Caenorhabditis elegans: one gene and its partner. The protein of the gene in region 1 purifies or fractionates together with the protein of each later gene. This does not show direct contact. Each region holds a gene or a part of one and is shown on either strand. Other genes may lie near its edges.

Region 1 (6,780 bases):
AGAACATATTTTCTGACTTTAAATTTGGACTTCATTTGACTGGAATTTGAGTTTATATAAAAATGAAACTATAAGATTAAGCAACAAATCACAATAATAAAAAAGCTAAAATATTGGATGTCGTGGGAAGAAAGAGAGGAAAAAGGGAGGAAAAAAGAGGAAGAACAGAATGAAGCAGTGGAGGTGCAAGAGCCCCCCCCCCCCCCCCCCCCATGTGATGGAGAAGTGTGTAGACCAAAAAGGGGCATAGGAGGCCGATGAGAGAAGAGACGTGTGTATGTGTGTGCATGTGTATTCCTTCTCATTCTCTTTTCCCTTTTCTGTTTCGCCCCCTCGCTGCTATTTTTGAGAGGAGTGAAACGAATGGATGGCAAGAGAGGGAGGACGAAGCAAAGAAGTGAAGACTGAGTTCCAAATCAATAGAGGGAGAGAAAAACAGAGAGATATACACGACAAAACATATAAGTTTGTTATTATGGGATACCAAATTCCCAATTTGTCCAACTTATAAATGTGGGAACACTTTTTGTATCGTTTTTCACATGGAGAATTGAAGCGGCAGTTTTTGTGGAAGCTTTGTATTTGAAAAAAAAATTCAGGTTTCAAAATTTTAAATAATGTGTTTTACATACTCAAGTACCTATAAAGCAAACGTTTATATACTGACATGATCGACATCAAAATTAAAAAAAAAAATGAAAGAACTACTCACAAATATGCAATTGAAGTTTTTTTTATTTTAAAGGTAGAGCAGCGCCAGTGGGGAAACTGTTAAAAACTACTCCAATGGTGCCAAAATGACCAAATATCATTTGAAACTCTCCAAAAAATTTTTGAAATTTTTTTATTTATTGTCAAAAAGTGACAAAAAGTGACAAAAACAAATTTATTTTTTACTTGTTTTATACTTTAATTTTGTTTTTATTATTTGTATTAAAACATTGTAGGGGTCGGAGCATTTGAAATTTCTTTGGATTTCCTCAAAAGCTCATACTTTTTATAATTTTGGTAATTTGTGAAAAATTTTGACCGGAAATTATGACAAATCTAAATTTTTTTGGTATTTTTATTATGATACTTGGTCATTTTGGAACATTATAAGTGTACTTAGACAAAATTATAAGCTATTTATTCACAGTTTATTTATTCTTTTTTTTTCAAATGCTCCATCAGTCAAATTGAAATTATTTGAAGTGTCAATTGACCATTATAGAATGTTGGAATGTTATTCATTGTAAACATTTAGGGGAACAAGTGATACACAAGTACCAAATATAATAACTACCGTAATTTCTCTATTAGTCTTGCTTGCAAAATTAATTTTCGCATTGCTCGTAGGGGGTGCAAGACTAATAGAAGCTGCAGGACTAATAGAGGAAATACGGTATATAGTTGTACGTTATAAATTTTTCAAAAGTTTTCAGCTTTTGAATGCCAATTCAGCGTGGCTGCTCATTAGGAAACTACTGAATTTATACATGAGAATAATAATTTTTTAACGAATATACTTGCAAAAAAAAAGTGTTGTCTCGCACCTTTTTTTTCTCTTCTGGGGGTTTCCGAAGATTTTGGATATTCAATATGTAATTTCAAATATGAAGTCTCTTCAACGAAGAAAATATCAAACAATTTATTTCAGGTGCTGAAGCTGGGAAATATAATATAAGAAAAACGGGAAACCCCCGTTCACATTGACAATTATGGCTGAATGTACATACCCGAATTTGAGTTAGTTTCGCGCGCGAATGATGTTTTGCGGAAATTCAATCTTATTGTTTTTTGTACATATATATGCTTATTGTGATTGATTTCTTTATATTTTGTTGATAGTTTTCTATATACAGAAAGTTTTCAAATATTTTTCAAAAATGAACCTCTTTCTAAAAAATAATGGACCTTCTGGAAATTTTTCTAAAAATTCATGGCGATTCAAATTTCATTTTTTAATTGAATTTTCATTACTGAAAACGGACTTTTCTCGGTTTTTTTCTTCAATTTTTGAAACGTGCTGAAATGTACTATTCAATAAAATCCAATAATCCTGAAAAGTAGACCACAACGTAGCACACACGAGTAATTAGCGTGTTCCCTTTTTTTGTTGGTCTCTGAAATCGTGGCAATACGTGGATTCAAAAATTCATAAAATATGACGTCACAAATTTTTACATAGTGCAATTTTCATTTAAAAAATCATCGTGGCGTCAAAGCATTAAAGCCATGTGGCGCCCTAATTTCCAGAGGTCAACCTAAGATGGGACAATCTAAATACCCATAACCACAAGAAAGTAGAAAAAAAAATGGATTGTATTATTATGTTTGTCCATATAAAAAGATAAATAAAAATTAGAATTATTGACCAAATTAGTTTGTTTTTTTTTAAATAAGTAGTCTAGTATACTTGTAACTATATATTTTTCTAACGCCTACTACAAATGACGTCATATTCAATTTCAGCTGCCTTAAACAAATGACATTTTTTACGTTTCGTTCATATAGCCTATTTCACGTTTTTGCCTACTATTCTAGATTTTGGAACTTATGTTTTTTTTTAAACGAAAGTTATAAGTACCTCAATATTAAACAGGAAATTATAAATTTAAACATATCTCTACAATAAATGTTAGCATTCGGCTTATAAACAATTTGTTTATGTTTTTATCAAATAAAAACAGTGTATATTTAAATAAAGGATTATTTCTATTTGATTTCCACAATCGCGGGAAACCTCTGAACATTAAATCATAATTTTTGATCTACATGAGAAGCTTCTACTTTGTTTTTATAGAGCTAAGAACGAGTCAATGAAAAAATTATATTGTTAGATGAAGATTGTTTTCCTAAAAGTTTCGATGTGATTTTCATAATATATGTAAATCTGCTAAAAACAAAATTTTCCACGATTTCTTGTACTGGTCGCAATTTGACCACCATTTATAACATTCCAGTCTACTTTCTTCTTTGTTTTCACCCATTTTTCTGACGTATTATATAATCAGAAAAAAATACAATATATTGTGCGAAAATTAAAGAATTGTAATCAGTCACAAAATACCTCAACTAAGACACATTATTCTGCTGCTCTCATCGTCTCACGCACTCTTTGCGCGTAAGGTGGTCTCCATGACAACGTGCCCCCTGCCTCAACAACTCGCCACACAGCGCCACCTGATATTAGCGTGCTCTCTCTCTCTTGCGTGTATTACCGCTGTTTCATTCCTCTTTTTTGTCAGCATTTTTCACCTTAATATTGTTTTTCATGTATTTCATGTTTTTCGCAACTTGTAATGAGATTTTTGCAGTAAAAGTGCGATGAGCGTTGAGGAAACTCGGGAAATTCTTGAGAAAGTAATTCAAAAACCACAACTAACTGATCAACTGCTTTCACGACCACCATTCAAATTTATTGTTGATATAGTTAGCAATGTGATAAAGTCTACGGGGTATTTGAAGGTGGGTATTTGAAAATTTTATTCATAATAAAAAATTATGCGCGAAAATGTAGATTTTAAGAAATGTAATGTGGTATGAGAAAAAAAGAGAAAAAACCAGTGCCCAACTTTAGTTTTAAAGTTTTCGTTTGTCAGTGATGCGAAGTTTTTGGTCAGTGCTGTGCCAAGTTACTCAGTGCTGTGCCAACTTGGTCAGCGCATAAATTTTCGCTAAATTTTCATTTTAACAGACTGACTTCACCGACGATGAAATAAAGTCCGCTGGCAACGACAAAAACACCAAAACTGCCTTTCTTGACAAGCTGATCAAGATTCTAGATGACGGAAGTCTCAAAAACGTCAAAGCCGCCAAAATAATATCGGGGAAGGACGCGGAAGAAACCAACAAAGTGAGTTTACATTCTATTAACAAGAAATATCTGTAATGAAAAAAGAAGGCGCAGAATTTTAAACAGAATTTACAATTCGATGTGAAGTCGCTTCAATCAAATTTTAAAAAATCTGGTCAATCAGAAATTTTTTTTTAACTTAAAAAAAAAATTCGATTTCTTCCGTAAATTATATCAAACTAAATTAGTGCCCTAATCATTTTTTCTATTTAAATTTTCTGATTTTTTGTGATAAAAATATGCTTAATAGTAAGATAAAGTATTTAAGCCGTTTTCAACTTGGTCAGTGCATTACCAGATTGGTCAGTGCTACACCAAGTTAGCCATTGCTTTCGCTCGTCTCAGTTCTTAGTGCTTTTTTTACCTTTTACATTTATTCAGATGCTGCAAATGTTGGGAACAAATGCTACGAGTTTCAATTCAAGGAATGGTACCGGAGAGGAGAAAAAGAAGAAAAAAGTAAAGAAAGAGGACAAAAAGGGAGATGAAGAAGAGAAGTCAACTACTAAAAAACGTAGCAGTAAGAAGGTAGAGTGCACTTTTAAATATTTGTTTCCCCATAAACTCAGTTTTATCATTTTAAGGAAACGCATGAAGAGAAGGAAAAATCGGAGAAGAAAAAATCTGCAGAAGAGAAAGAGAAGAAGAAAAAGTCTTCGAGTTCAAAAGAACGGCATAAGTCTAGTGACAGGTCTAGCGAAAAGTCAAGCGAAAAGTCCAGCAAGGAGAAAAAGAAGGAAAAGAGCACAACAGACGAAAAACCCAAAAAGAGCAAAAAAGACCCGAGTGAACGGCATTTTAAACGACAAGACTCAATGATTGCTGTGAATGGAGATGCACCGGATACTCCGAACAATGAGAATGGAGATGAGGGTTATGACGATCATGAGATTTCTGAACCAACTGTTATATCAAATATGGAAACTGATTTGTCAGCTCAATCACTACTGATCCAACAGCCAGTGACGTCACCCTTGAAAACTGATGATAGTGGGATGGGTGAGAGCCCGAGAATGATCAAGCCCGAAGATAGACCCCCGTTGATAAGGTAACCTCTTACGGATTGGGTTTATCTTCAGTTCATTTTAAAAAATGTAGTGCACACTTAAATAATTTTCTGAAATTGAATTATCCGGCAAATTTTTGGCTTCAACATTGTTGGTTTACTCCTTCTTTGACCAACATTTTTTCAAATTCTAGAATAAGTTGTCAAAGTGAAATTTACACTGAGATTGAGATGATGATACACACAGTTTAATCAGCTTTTGACATAGAAAATTCCAGACCAATGACTGGTGCTGGAGGTGGTAGACCTATGACATCAATGGGAAGACCCGGAACCGCGGCTTCAAGGCCAGCGCCTCCAAAACTGAAAAAGAAACAAATTGCGACTGTTGACTCAACGCCACAAGTGGTAATAACATTGTTAATCAGTTTATTAATTCAATTTTGATACCACTTTAGGTAGTCGAACTCAAATCGGAAATCATCAGCGATGCTCCAAAAGTGGAAACCGAAGACGATAGCAATTTTATAATGGAAAATGACGAGGAAGATGGTGATAGAACCGCTAGAATTGAAGATTTAGTTGATGAAGAAGATAGAGGAGCTTTGGTGCAAAAAATCATGGAGACGAAGGCTGAAATTGAAGATGGAGGAGGACAGGATCAGGTTGAAGAGTCCGATGCTGATAAAATTATGACAGTTGAAAGAGAAAAGATGAAGCAACTGCAGGAGAAGCTTCAGGATTTAACAAGATCTGCTTATCCGCTAGCAAGGCTTTTTGATTTTGCAAATGTGAGTTTAATGAATTTCAGACAGTTTGAAAAACTTGGAAATGCCCGAAATTTTCCGGGCTCCTACGAATTTATACAGACAACGGAAGATGCTAGGGCTTTCAAATGAAAGTTGTTTTGGATGATGTATTGATACATACCGTATTTTCTCACTACCTTTGCACTACTTTACTTTGACAGCTTATGCATATCGTGAATTTTTTTTAATCAACATTTTTTAATTGGGGTTTTTTTTATATTTAATTTCAGTGCACGTAAGTACTATTTTACACATAAAATCAATTTTTTGACATTACATTCGTTATAAAAAATATATTTTTCAGGACGACATCGAATCAATGATTAAAGAACTGGAGCGATGGAGAAGTGAGCAGCGACGGAATGAGCAAGAGGATCAGAACAAAAAAGCGGCAGGATTCGGAGACAGCAGTAGACTCTACAACATCATCGCAAACTTACAAAAAGAAATCAATGACACGAAAGAAGAATTGAGCAAGGCTAGAGGACGAGTTCTCAACAATGAAAAACGCATTCAACTATTCATTTCCAATGTTTGATCTTTCAGTTTTCCCTATTCAGAAGGAGATTTTCATTTTATTGAATTAAATGAAAAGATAAACAAATAAATTATTTTATATTACTTAGAGCTTTGATACAATGTTACAAATTCGAATGAAAATTGAAGTTGCACCAATATGTTGTTGTAACTAAAACTAAAACTAAAATGTAACTAAAATGTTGTAACTAACAAAATGTTTTGTTTAGGTCCAACACTATTTCTTATTGGAGACAAAGTGGAGGAAATTTCCAATGCCACTCCTTAGCTAATTAATTATTAATTGTCTAAAAAGTCCTTTTCAGGATTAGTTTTAAATTCCCGAGCGTTCAACACTTTTTTTGATTGACAATGGCTTTTTCAAATTTACAATCAAGTTTATATCAAGTTTATAATTTATTTGTAACCCAAACAAAGAAAAAGAAACGTTTTTAACAGACCAGTTTGTTGGAATAACACAAAACTCAAGACGGATGGGATAAAAAAGTTGAATTAGTGCCCGATGGGCAGTCATTCGATGGTTTTGAAAAGAAAAAAGAACCCGCATGGGCAATGCAAAAAGGAAAAATGAACATTTTGATAAAATTACA
Region 2 (6,242 bases), about 16 Mb from region 1:
AAATTTCTGCCATATGATTTCGAAAACGCTTTTTTCAGCTAAAAACTAACAAATTTATCCCGGAATTTCTGCCACTAAAGCTGAATAACTTAAATTTAGCGCCGCCGAATATTGCTCCAAATTTTCAAAATTAACTTTTAACATTTTGCAACTTGAAGAGAGGAACATTTCTTTGATATTGTGATTTTCACTTACTAATCGAAATAGTTGTGGGATCCACTAAATACGCCAACTTCTTCACTTTTTTGTGCTCTTCCACATCAGGCCCACTAACTTGCACACTGAGCAAGTGAGGACTAGTGAGCTCAGTTCTCACCCATCCCAGTGAACCATCCACTCCATACTCGACAACTGTGACTTCACCGGCATTAATGATTAAGCAACAGTTATTGAAGTCGAAATAAAACTTTTCATGGCCTCCACTTTGCCACTCCAGCTCCGAGAATCTTTGCGATTCTGTGTCAGCGATGATGATGCTTGAAGAGGTGTATCCAATAACATATCTATCCTTTCCCATAATTTTCAGTTCATCAATTGCTAGTCCTTTGTTGGAGATCACGTTGGTTCTCGTGTCGTTTGTGACGTCACGCAGAATAACGTGTGATGGTGCGACATATGTGGTCTCGAAGCGACTTTTTAGCATACCGCGTCGCAGGCAACAATCGACGGAAAATACTCCGCCACACACGGTACCCTGAAAAACACATATTCAGAATGGGGCTCAGAATTCGAGGGTGTTACCGCATAAATAGTACTACCATCCATTTTCCAACCAAGTGCACCAATTGTATATGCATTTTGAATTTCCAACGGAGCACCCTCATCCCAGGCACCTCTTCTGGCAGACCAGGAGAATAGGCGTAGTCTAAAAAAAGGTTAGAGCTATGTTTCTACCAATACACGTGGTGTCAGGCTGTCTCATTACAATTTGGTCTACAAAAAATGCGGGAACATTTTTCCAGAAAAATGGTAACGCCAGCACACTCTTCACCACGCGAAATCAAATGAGATTTCTGCGTCTTAACTCCCACATTCTTTGAAGGTCAAACCGAAAAAAGAAATTTGACTCCACGTGCAAATAGTCTTAATACCTGTCATAACTTGCTACCACAACGTTCTGAGCAGTAGGATCACAGGAAATCGAAGAGAACTCTTTTTCGGATTGATCATTGTAGTCAAATTGCTGCTGAACAACTCCGTTCTCGGTATAGGACAGCACTCTTCGATCGGAAGTCGCTACAACCAGCCCGTGGTTTGTGAATACCAAATTGTACGGAGGAACTTGCAGCGTGCAGATTTTGGACTGAAATTAGGAGCATTATAAGCCCAAACTGTATATAACAAACCTGAGTTCTGCTACTGAAATTGTACAAAATAATAGATCCATCCTGGTGCGCCGATACGAAAGATGTCCGTTTCGGGCTGAAAGTACAGTATTTTTTGATTACTTTTTAGGATAAATACTTACTGAGTTTGAATCGAAACTACTGTCTCGTCGGTTTTGTATAGTGAGCTGCATTTGTTTGTCTTGATGAGTCCGATACGAACCTGGAAGATGGGAAGTAAGAATTTTACGAGACATGTAATTTAGGAACGTTCATAATACTGAAAAAAAACCATATAAGTTTTTTGAAAATTTTCGGAAGTTGCTATAAACTAACAAGCAAGTTTAAAAATTTTTAAACAAAAAAGGGTATGCAGGTCTGAAACTCTAAAAAACTGAACTTACGTTTATGCAGTTTTGAAATCAAAAAATGTATGTAGAAATATTAAAAAGTATTGAAAGGACTGTAATAAATTAATATTTTTCGTAAAAAAGTTTGAAAAACAGTTTTTGCAAAATTTCGGGCTCTTCTTTTTCGCCTTCAAAAAAAAACAACAACGGCTTTTCAAGTCAATATTTCTATTTTAAATGACAATTTCATCTTGATTTTCAGTATTTAAAAGTAAAGAGCATCATACCGAATTCAAAAATTTTAAATATTTGTCTGCACATTTTAAAATTTCATAGGTATTTGCAAAAACGTTAATCGCTTAATAACCCGAAATCCTGTGAGTTTTTATTATGCAAATTTTTTTTCACTTTTTTGCTCAATAATATGAAATTCGCTTTCTGTTTGTTTTTCCACCAATTATTTATATAATTATCTCACTTTTCCATCCAATTGACCAACCAAAATTTTGTCATCAAATGGCCAACTCAAACAAGTGACAGCGGATGGTTGCACAAATTTGTTGACAATCACTTTCTTCTCATTCCTGCATAAGTAGTATGAATCAGAAATGATTTTAAGTAACTTTACAACACACTTACCAAGAGGTACCGACTTTATAAATGAAGAGAACATTGTCGCTTTGTCCGATGGCGATGCGTGACGAATCAGGTGAAAAGGTCATGCACAATACGGTGAACGATTTTTTTCCGTACTAAAAAAAAGATAAGACGATAAAAGCTTTACACCAGATACAATGTGACGAACCTTTGCATCAATCGGTTTGCAAGTGAATCTATCCTTCTGCACTCCATTTTCATCTAACAAAGCGACTGATCGATCGGAACAGGCAATCGCTGCACGAGAACCATTTGGAGAGCACGAAATGTTGCTGATCTTTGCTTCTCCATCCTGAAAATTAAAAAAAAGATGTATTTGCAACAGTTTTAGCTATAAACTAAAAAGAAGTTGCGCAAAAGTTGTAAAACAGAATGCGCGCGGAAAATTCGGAAGGGGCGGTTGCTAGGCCACGACCGCTAAGTCTCTTCCACATGGTATTGTGGTTTAGGTGATTACAATGAAAAATGTTTTAAAATGTTTAAAATTGGATAAAAACAAGAAGTTTTTTTTTTGCAAAATTGAACTATTATGCAGCGGGTAAAATGCGTCTAAACTAAAATAATAATACTTTGAAATTTTCATTGATACTCTTTCGCAATTAGATTCTAAAAGTTTTTTAATACTTTAAAACTCCTATTTTACTCACCTGAGCTGGGAGAATAGTTGAAAGATACTTGAGTTTCATTTAATCCTCATGAACTGAATAACTGCAAGAAAGGGGGCAACGGAACAAGGGGAGCCGTCTGGTGTGTGCTCCGTTGCCATGGTAGCTATGAAATGCACAAGAGCAAGGCTCACACACCACCGCCCTTAAGCTCACACGTTCTTTCATGCAATTTGTGGTATTTCCTAGATTGTTCAAGAAAATTTGGTGAGTGGGATTTTTTTAACAACAGACATGAAAGTATAATTTGAGTGCTGGTAAATTTAAGATTGAATTCAAAAAAAAATATCTGAGATCCATTTTTGAATATGAAGAAAAAATATATAATATAGTTTAAAGGTGGAGTAGCGCCAGTTAGGATTTTATCTAAACACACTTGAAATAATTTAAAACAACTTAATACACTCCAAAAAGTTTCAGATTTTTCATAATTTCCGGTCAAAGTTTTGGCACAGTGCCAAAATTTTGACATATGAGCTTTTGAGGAAATCCAAAGCAATGTCGCATGTTCCAACCCCTACAGTGTTTTAATACAAATATTTAAAGCAAAATGACATTATAAGAAATGTAGGAAAAAAACCTTTTTTTGGTCGACTTCCAAAATGATGAGTGACAAAACTGAGTAATTGCCACTTTTTGACAGTAAATAAAAAATTTTCAAAAAACGTTTGAAAAGTTTTATTATGATATTCGGTTATTTTGAGACCATTGGAGTGGTTCTTAACATTTTCCCGACTGATGCTACTCCATCTTTAAAAGTTTGGCCTTCGGAATTTTGCAGACCACAAACAATTACAGAAACCGTAATTAATTTATAAATTGTAGTGGTAAATTTTTGAACGTGGATAAGTTTTCTAAAGGAAACATTAAACTTTTGATTGTGCTTTCCTTATTGAAAAAGCTGCTGAAATTGAAAGCTGCCGTTCGCATTCCGTACATTTATGTTAGTTGCAAAATGTTCACCGGAATACTAGAAAGTCAAATTAATGTCAAAAAAGTTTTGTTAGTTCTAAAAAAATAGTCCGGCGTTAAAGGCTCATGGGATTAACTTTCGGTAATTGCCAAACGCACTTTTGGTTCACAAAGATATTAGAAAAAAAAAATCTACTCTGCACTAACATTAAATTCATTTCGATTTTAGTTTTAAAACGATTTTGTTTTGAAGTTTACCCACAATTTACACATTTGTTTCAAAATTTGAATTCAAAAAATAAAAACACATTCCATTTTTTAAAGAATTTACATTTATTACTTTATTTCAAAAAGAAAAAAAGAATAGAGAGATGACTCCAAGATAAACAAAGACTGGAAGAGCAAGAGACAAGATGTTGGTATGGATACAATTAGAGGAAAGGTGGGGGTGGTGAGATGTTGCGGAAAACTGTTGGAGGGGACGAAACATGGCAATGTTAATATGAGCACACACTTAATTTGAGTGAATCGCTTCTACAATATAGTACAAACAAGTAAACAGGAGATATCGGTGTAGAGTACACATACAAGTCATTTATTCTATCAATTCAGATTGTTGGGAAGAAGGACTATTGGAGAGTTCCGCTTTAACTGAAAGGCTGGCAGGATAGTGACAAGAAAAACTGGGTGTGAGAGAGGTAAAGACTTTTTTGTTTAAGAATTAGGAACTACACAGAGAGATCACTGCGAGTTCTTGAGAAATAGAAATAGGCTTTTTGTAATTTTTGATAATTTAAACTTAAGCATAACAATATAATGACACCAAGAATAATGTTTTTTGGAAACAAGAAATTGGAAATGGGAAGGATTGTAATACTGGTCACAACTGGGCACGGAAGGTAAAGTTGAGAAGAGAAAGTAACGATGTCAGACATCAAGAAAAATAGAGGCAAATGTTTTTTTTTCAAGAAAGAGCACATTTTACCACTGCTCATGTGGCACAGTCTTCCCGTGAGCATGAGCTTGTTCGGCGTAGTGCTGCTGCACAACACTCACTCCGACCGTCTGATCGTGAACTTGCTCTTGCATTGGATACTGCTGGTTGACCATGGTATAGTCGAAGGGATAATCTTGTCTTGAAGATGGCAGCAGTACACAGCTGTCAATTGTGAACTGATTGTTGTGTGGGTTGCTCTTTTCAATGTTGGCGAAGCTTCCATTGTGGTAGAGGGGCTGGTTTCCGAGCATCATGTCGGGTTGGGAGACGATGTAGTGAGAGTCATGCTGGTTTACATTTACATAATCCATTCCAGATGACACTGAAGGCAAGGAGGAGGCGAGTTGGTGCACTGGCGGCTGAAAAAAAATGTTTTCGAAACTTGTGTGATTATTTGGTTTGGGGAGACATTATGGAACTTCCAAAATAAAACCATAAAAACAAAAACGTACCAATTGTTGCGTGCCAAGATTCCGGAAGTTAAGCATGTTAATAGTTTGCATTGGAAGTTGAATGCTCAATCCACCCGATGATGAGCCAGAGTCTGATTTAGAATCACTGAGATTTGAGAGCATCGTGTCGTCCAGCGACAGCATGCCTCCGTTGTGGCGACCATCGTCGCTATAGCTGAAAATTATGATTTTAGAGATTTTTCAGTATTAAACTGACTTTCAATAATTTTTAACTCTAACCAGATATTTCAATAGATATTATGTAATAACTCAAATGTTGAATTGGAAAAGTAATAGAGATATTTGTAAAAATTAGTTAATGTATAATATTTATCATAAATGTCTAAAAGTACTAACCCATAAAGTTGCATAAGGAAATTTTGATTCTGACTCTGCATCAATGAATCAAGAGAGGTAGTGTCCAAATCGATTTGATGATCACTTGGAGGTACTAAAGCACTGGCATGCAACGGCTGAACAGCTCCCAGATGCACTTGACTTAATGTAGTTGCCAAGGAGCTTGGCGTTTGCTTGGCTTTTGCCGCTTTCGATCGTTTTTTGTTTCCAGATGTCGTCGTGATCAGTGGATGAGAAATTACAGATGAAGCTGACGATGATGCTGGAAGTCCTCCATTTTCTTCTTGCTCCATTTGCAGTTTTCTTTTCGCTGCTGTGGCATATGTCAGTTGCCGGAGATCGTTGTCCAGATGAGCGGAGGTTTCATTTTTTCGTTGATGCATATCCTTATGACACTGAAGAGAAAACAAATTTCATTAAATGATTAATTTAAAATTTGAATTGAACTAAAAGAGTATTCCTCCCCCAACCCAACAACTACTTTGAACAAGGACACAACGACTTATAACTTACATGTTAACAAATGT

The links. The genes of interacting proteins can lie anywhere in the genome.
Region 2: the proteins of dyf-11 (region 1) and osm-1 fractionate together in Caenorhabditis elegans (co-fractionation; one large-scale study listed by BioGRID). This does not show direct contact.

The regions. Positions count from the first base shown.
Region 1 is NC_003284.9:760,460-767,239, forward strand, and holds dyf-11 (TRAF3-interacting protein 1), read left to right. Parts: upstream 1-3,292; 5' UTR 3,293-3,309; coding exon 3,310-3,450; intron 3,451-3,679; coding exon 3,680-3,838; intron 3,839-4,219; coding exon 4,220-4,366; intron 4,367-4,422; coding exon 4,423-4,886; intron 4,887-5,122; coding exon 5,123-5,252; intron 5,253-5,302; coding exon 5,303-5,635; intron 5,636-5,957; coding exon 5,958-6,191; 3' UTR 6,192-6,280; downstream 6,281-6,780.
Region 2 is NC_003284.9:16,538,195-16,544,436, reverse strand, and holds the start of osm-1 (Intraflagellar transport protein osm-1), read right to left. Parts: upstream 3,764-6,242; 5' UTR 3,019-3,763; coding exon 2,980-3,018; intron 2,625-2,979; coding exon 2,481-2,624; intron 2,428-2,480; coding exon 2,315-2,427; intron 2,260-2,314; coding exon 2,154-2,259; intron 1,549-2,153; coding exon 1,469-1,548; intron 1,423-1,468; coding exon 1,347-1,422; intron 1,304-1,346; coding exon 1,092-1,303; intron 866-1,091; coding exon 742-865; intron 695-741; coding exon 196-694; intron 1-195. Other genes in the region: pat-9 (C2H2-type domain-containing protein), read right to left, coding at 4,891-5,265, 5,359-5,533, 5,716-6,110. UniProt on the Caenorhabditis elegans protein: Component of the intraflagellar transport (IFT) complex B required for transport of proteins in the motile cilium. May be required for ciliary entrance and transport of specific ciliary cargo proteins such as che-3 which are related to motility.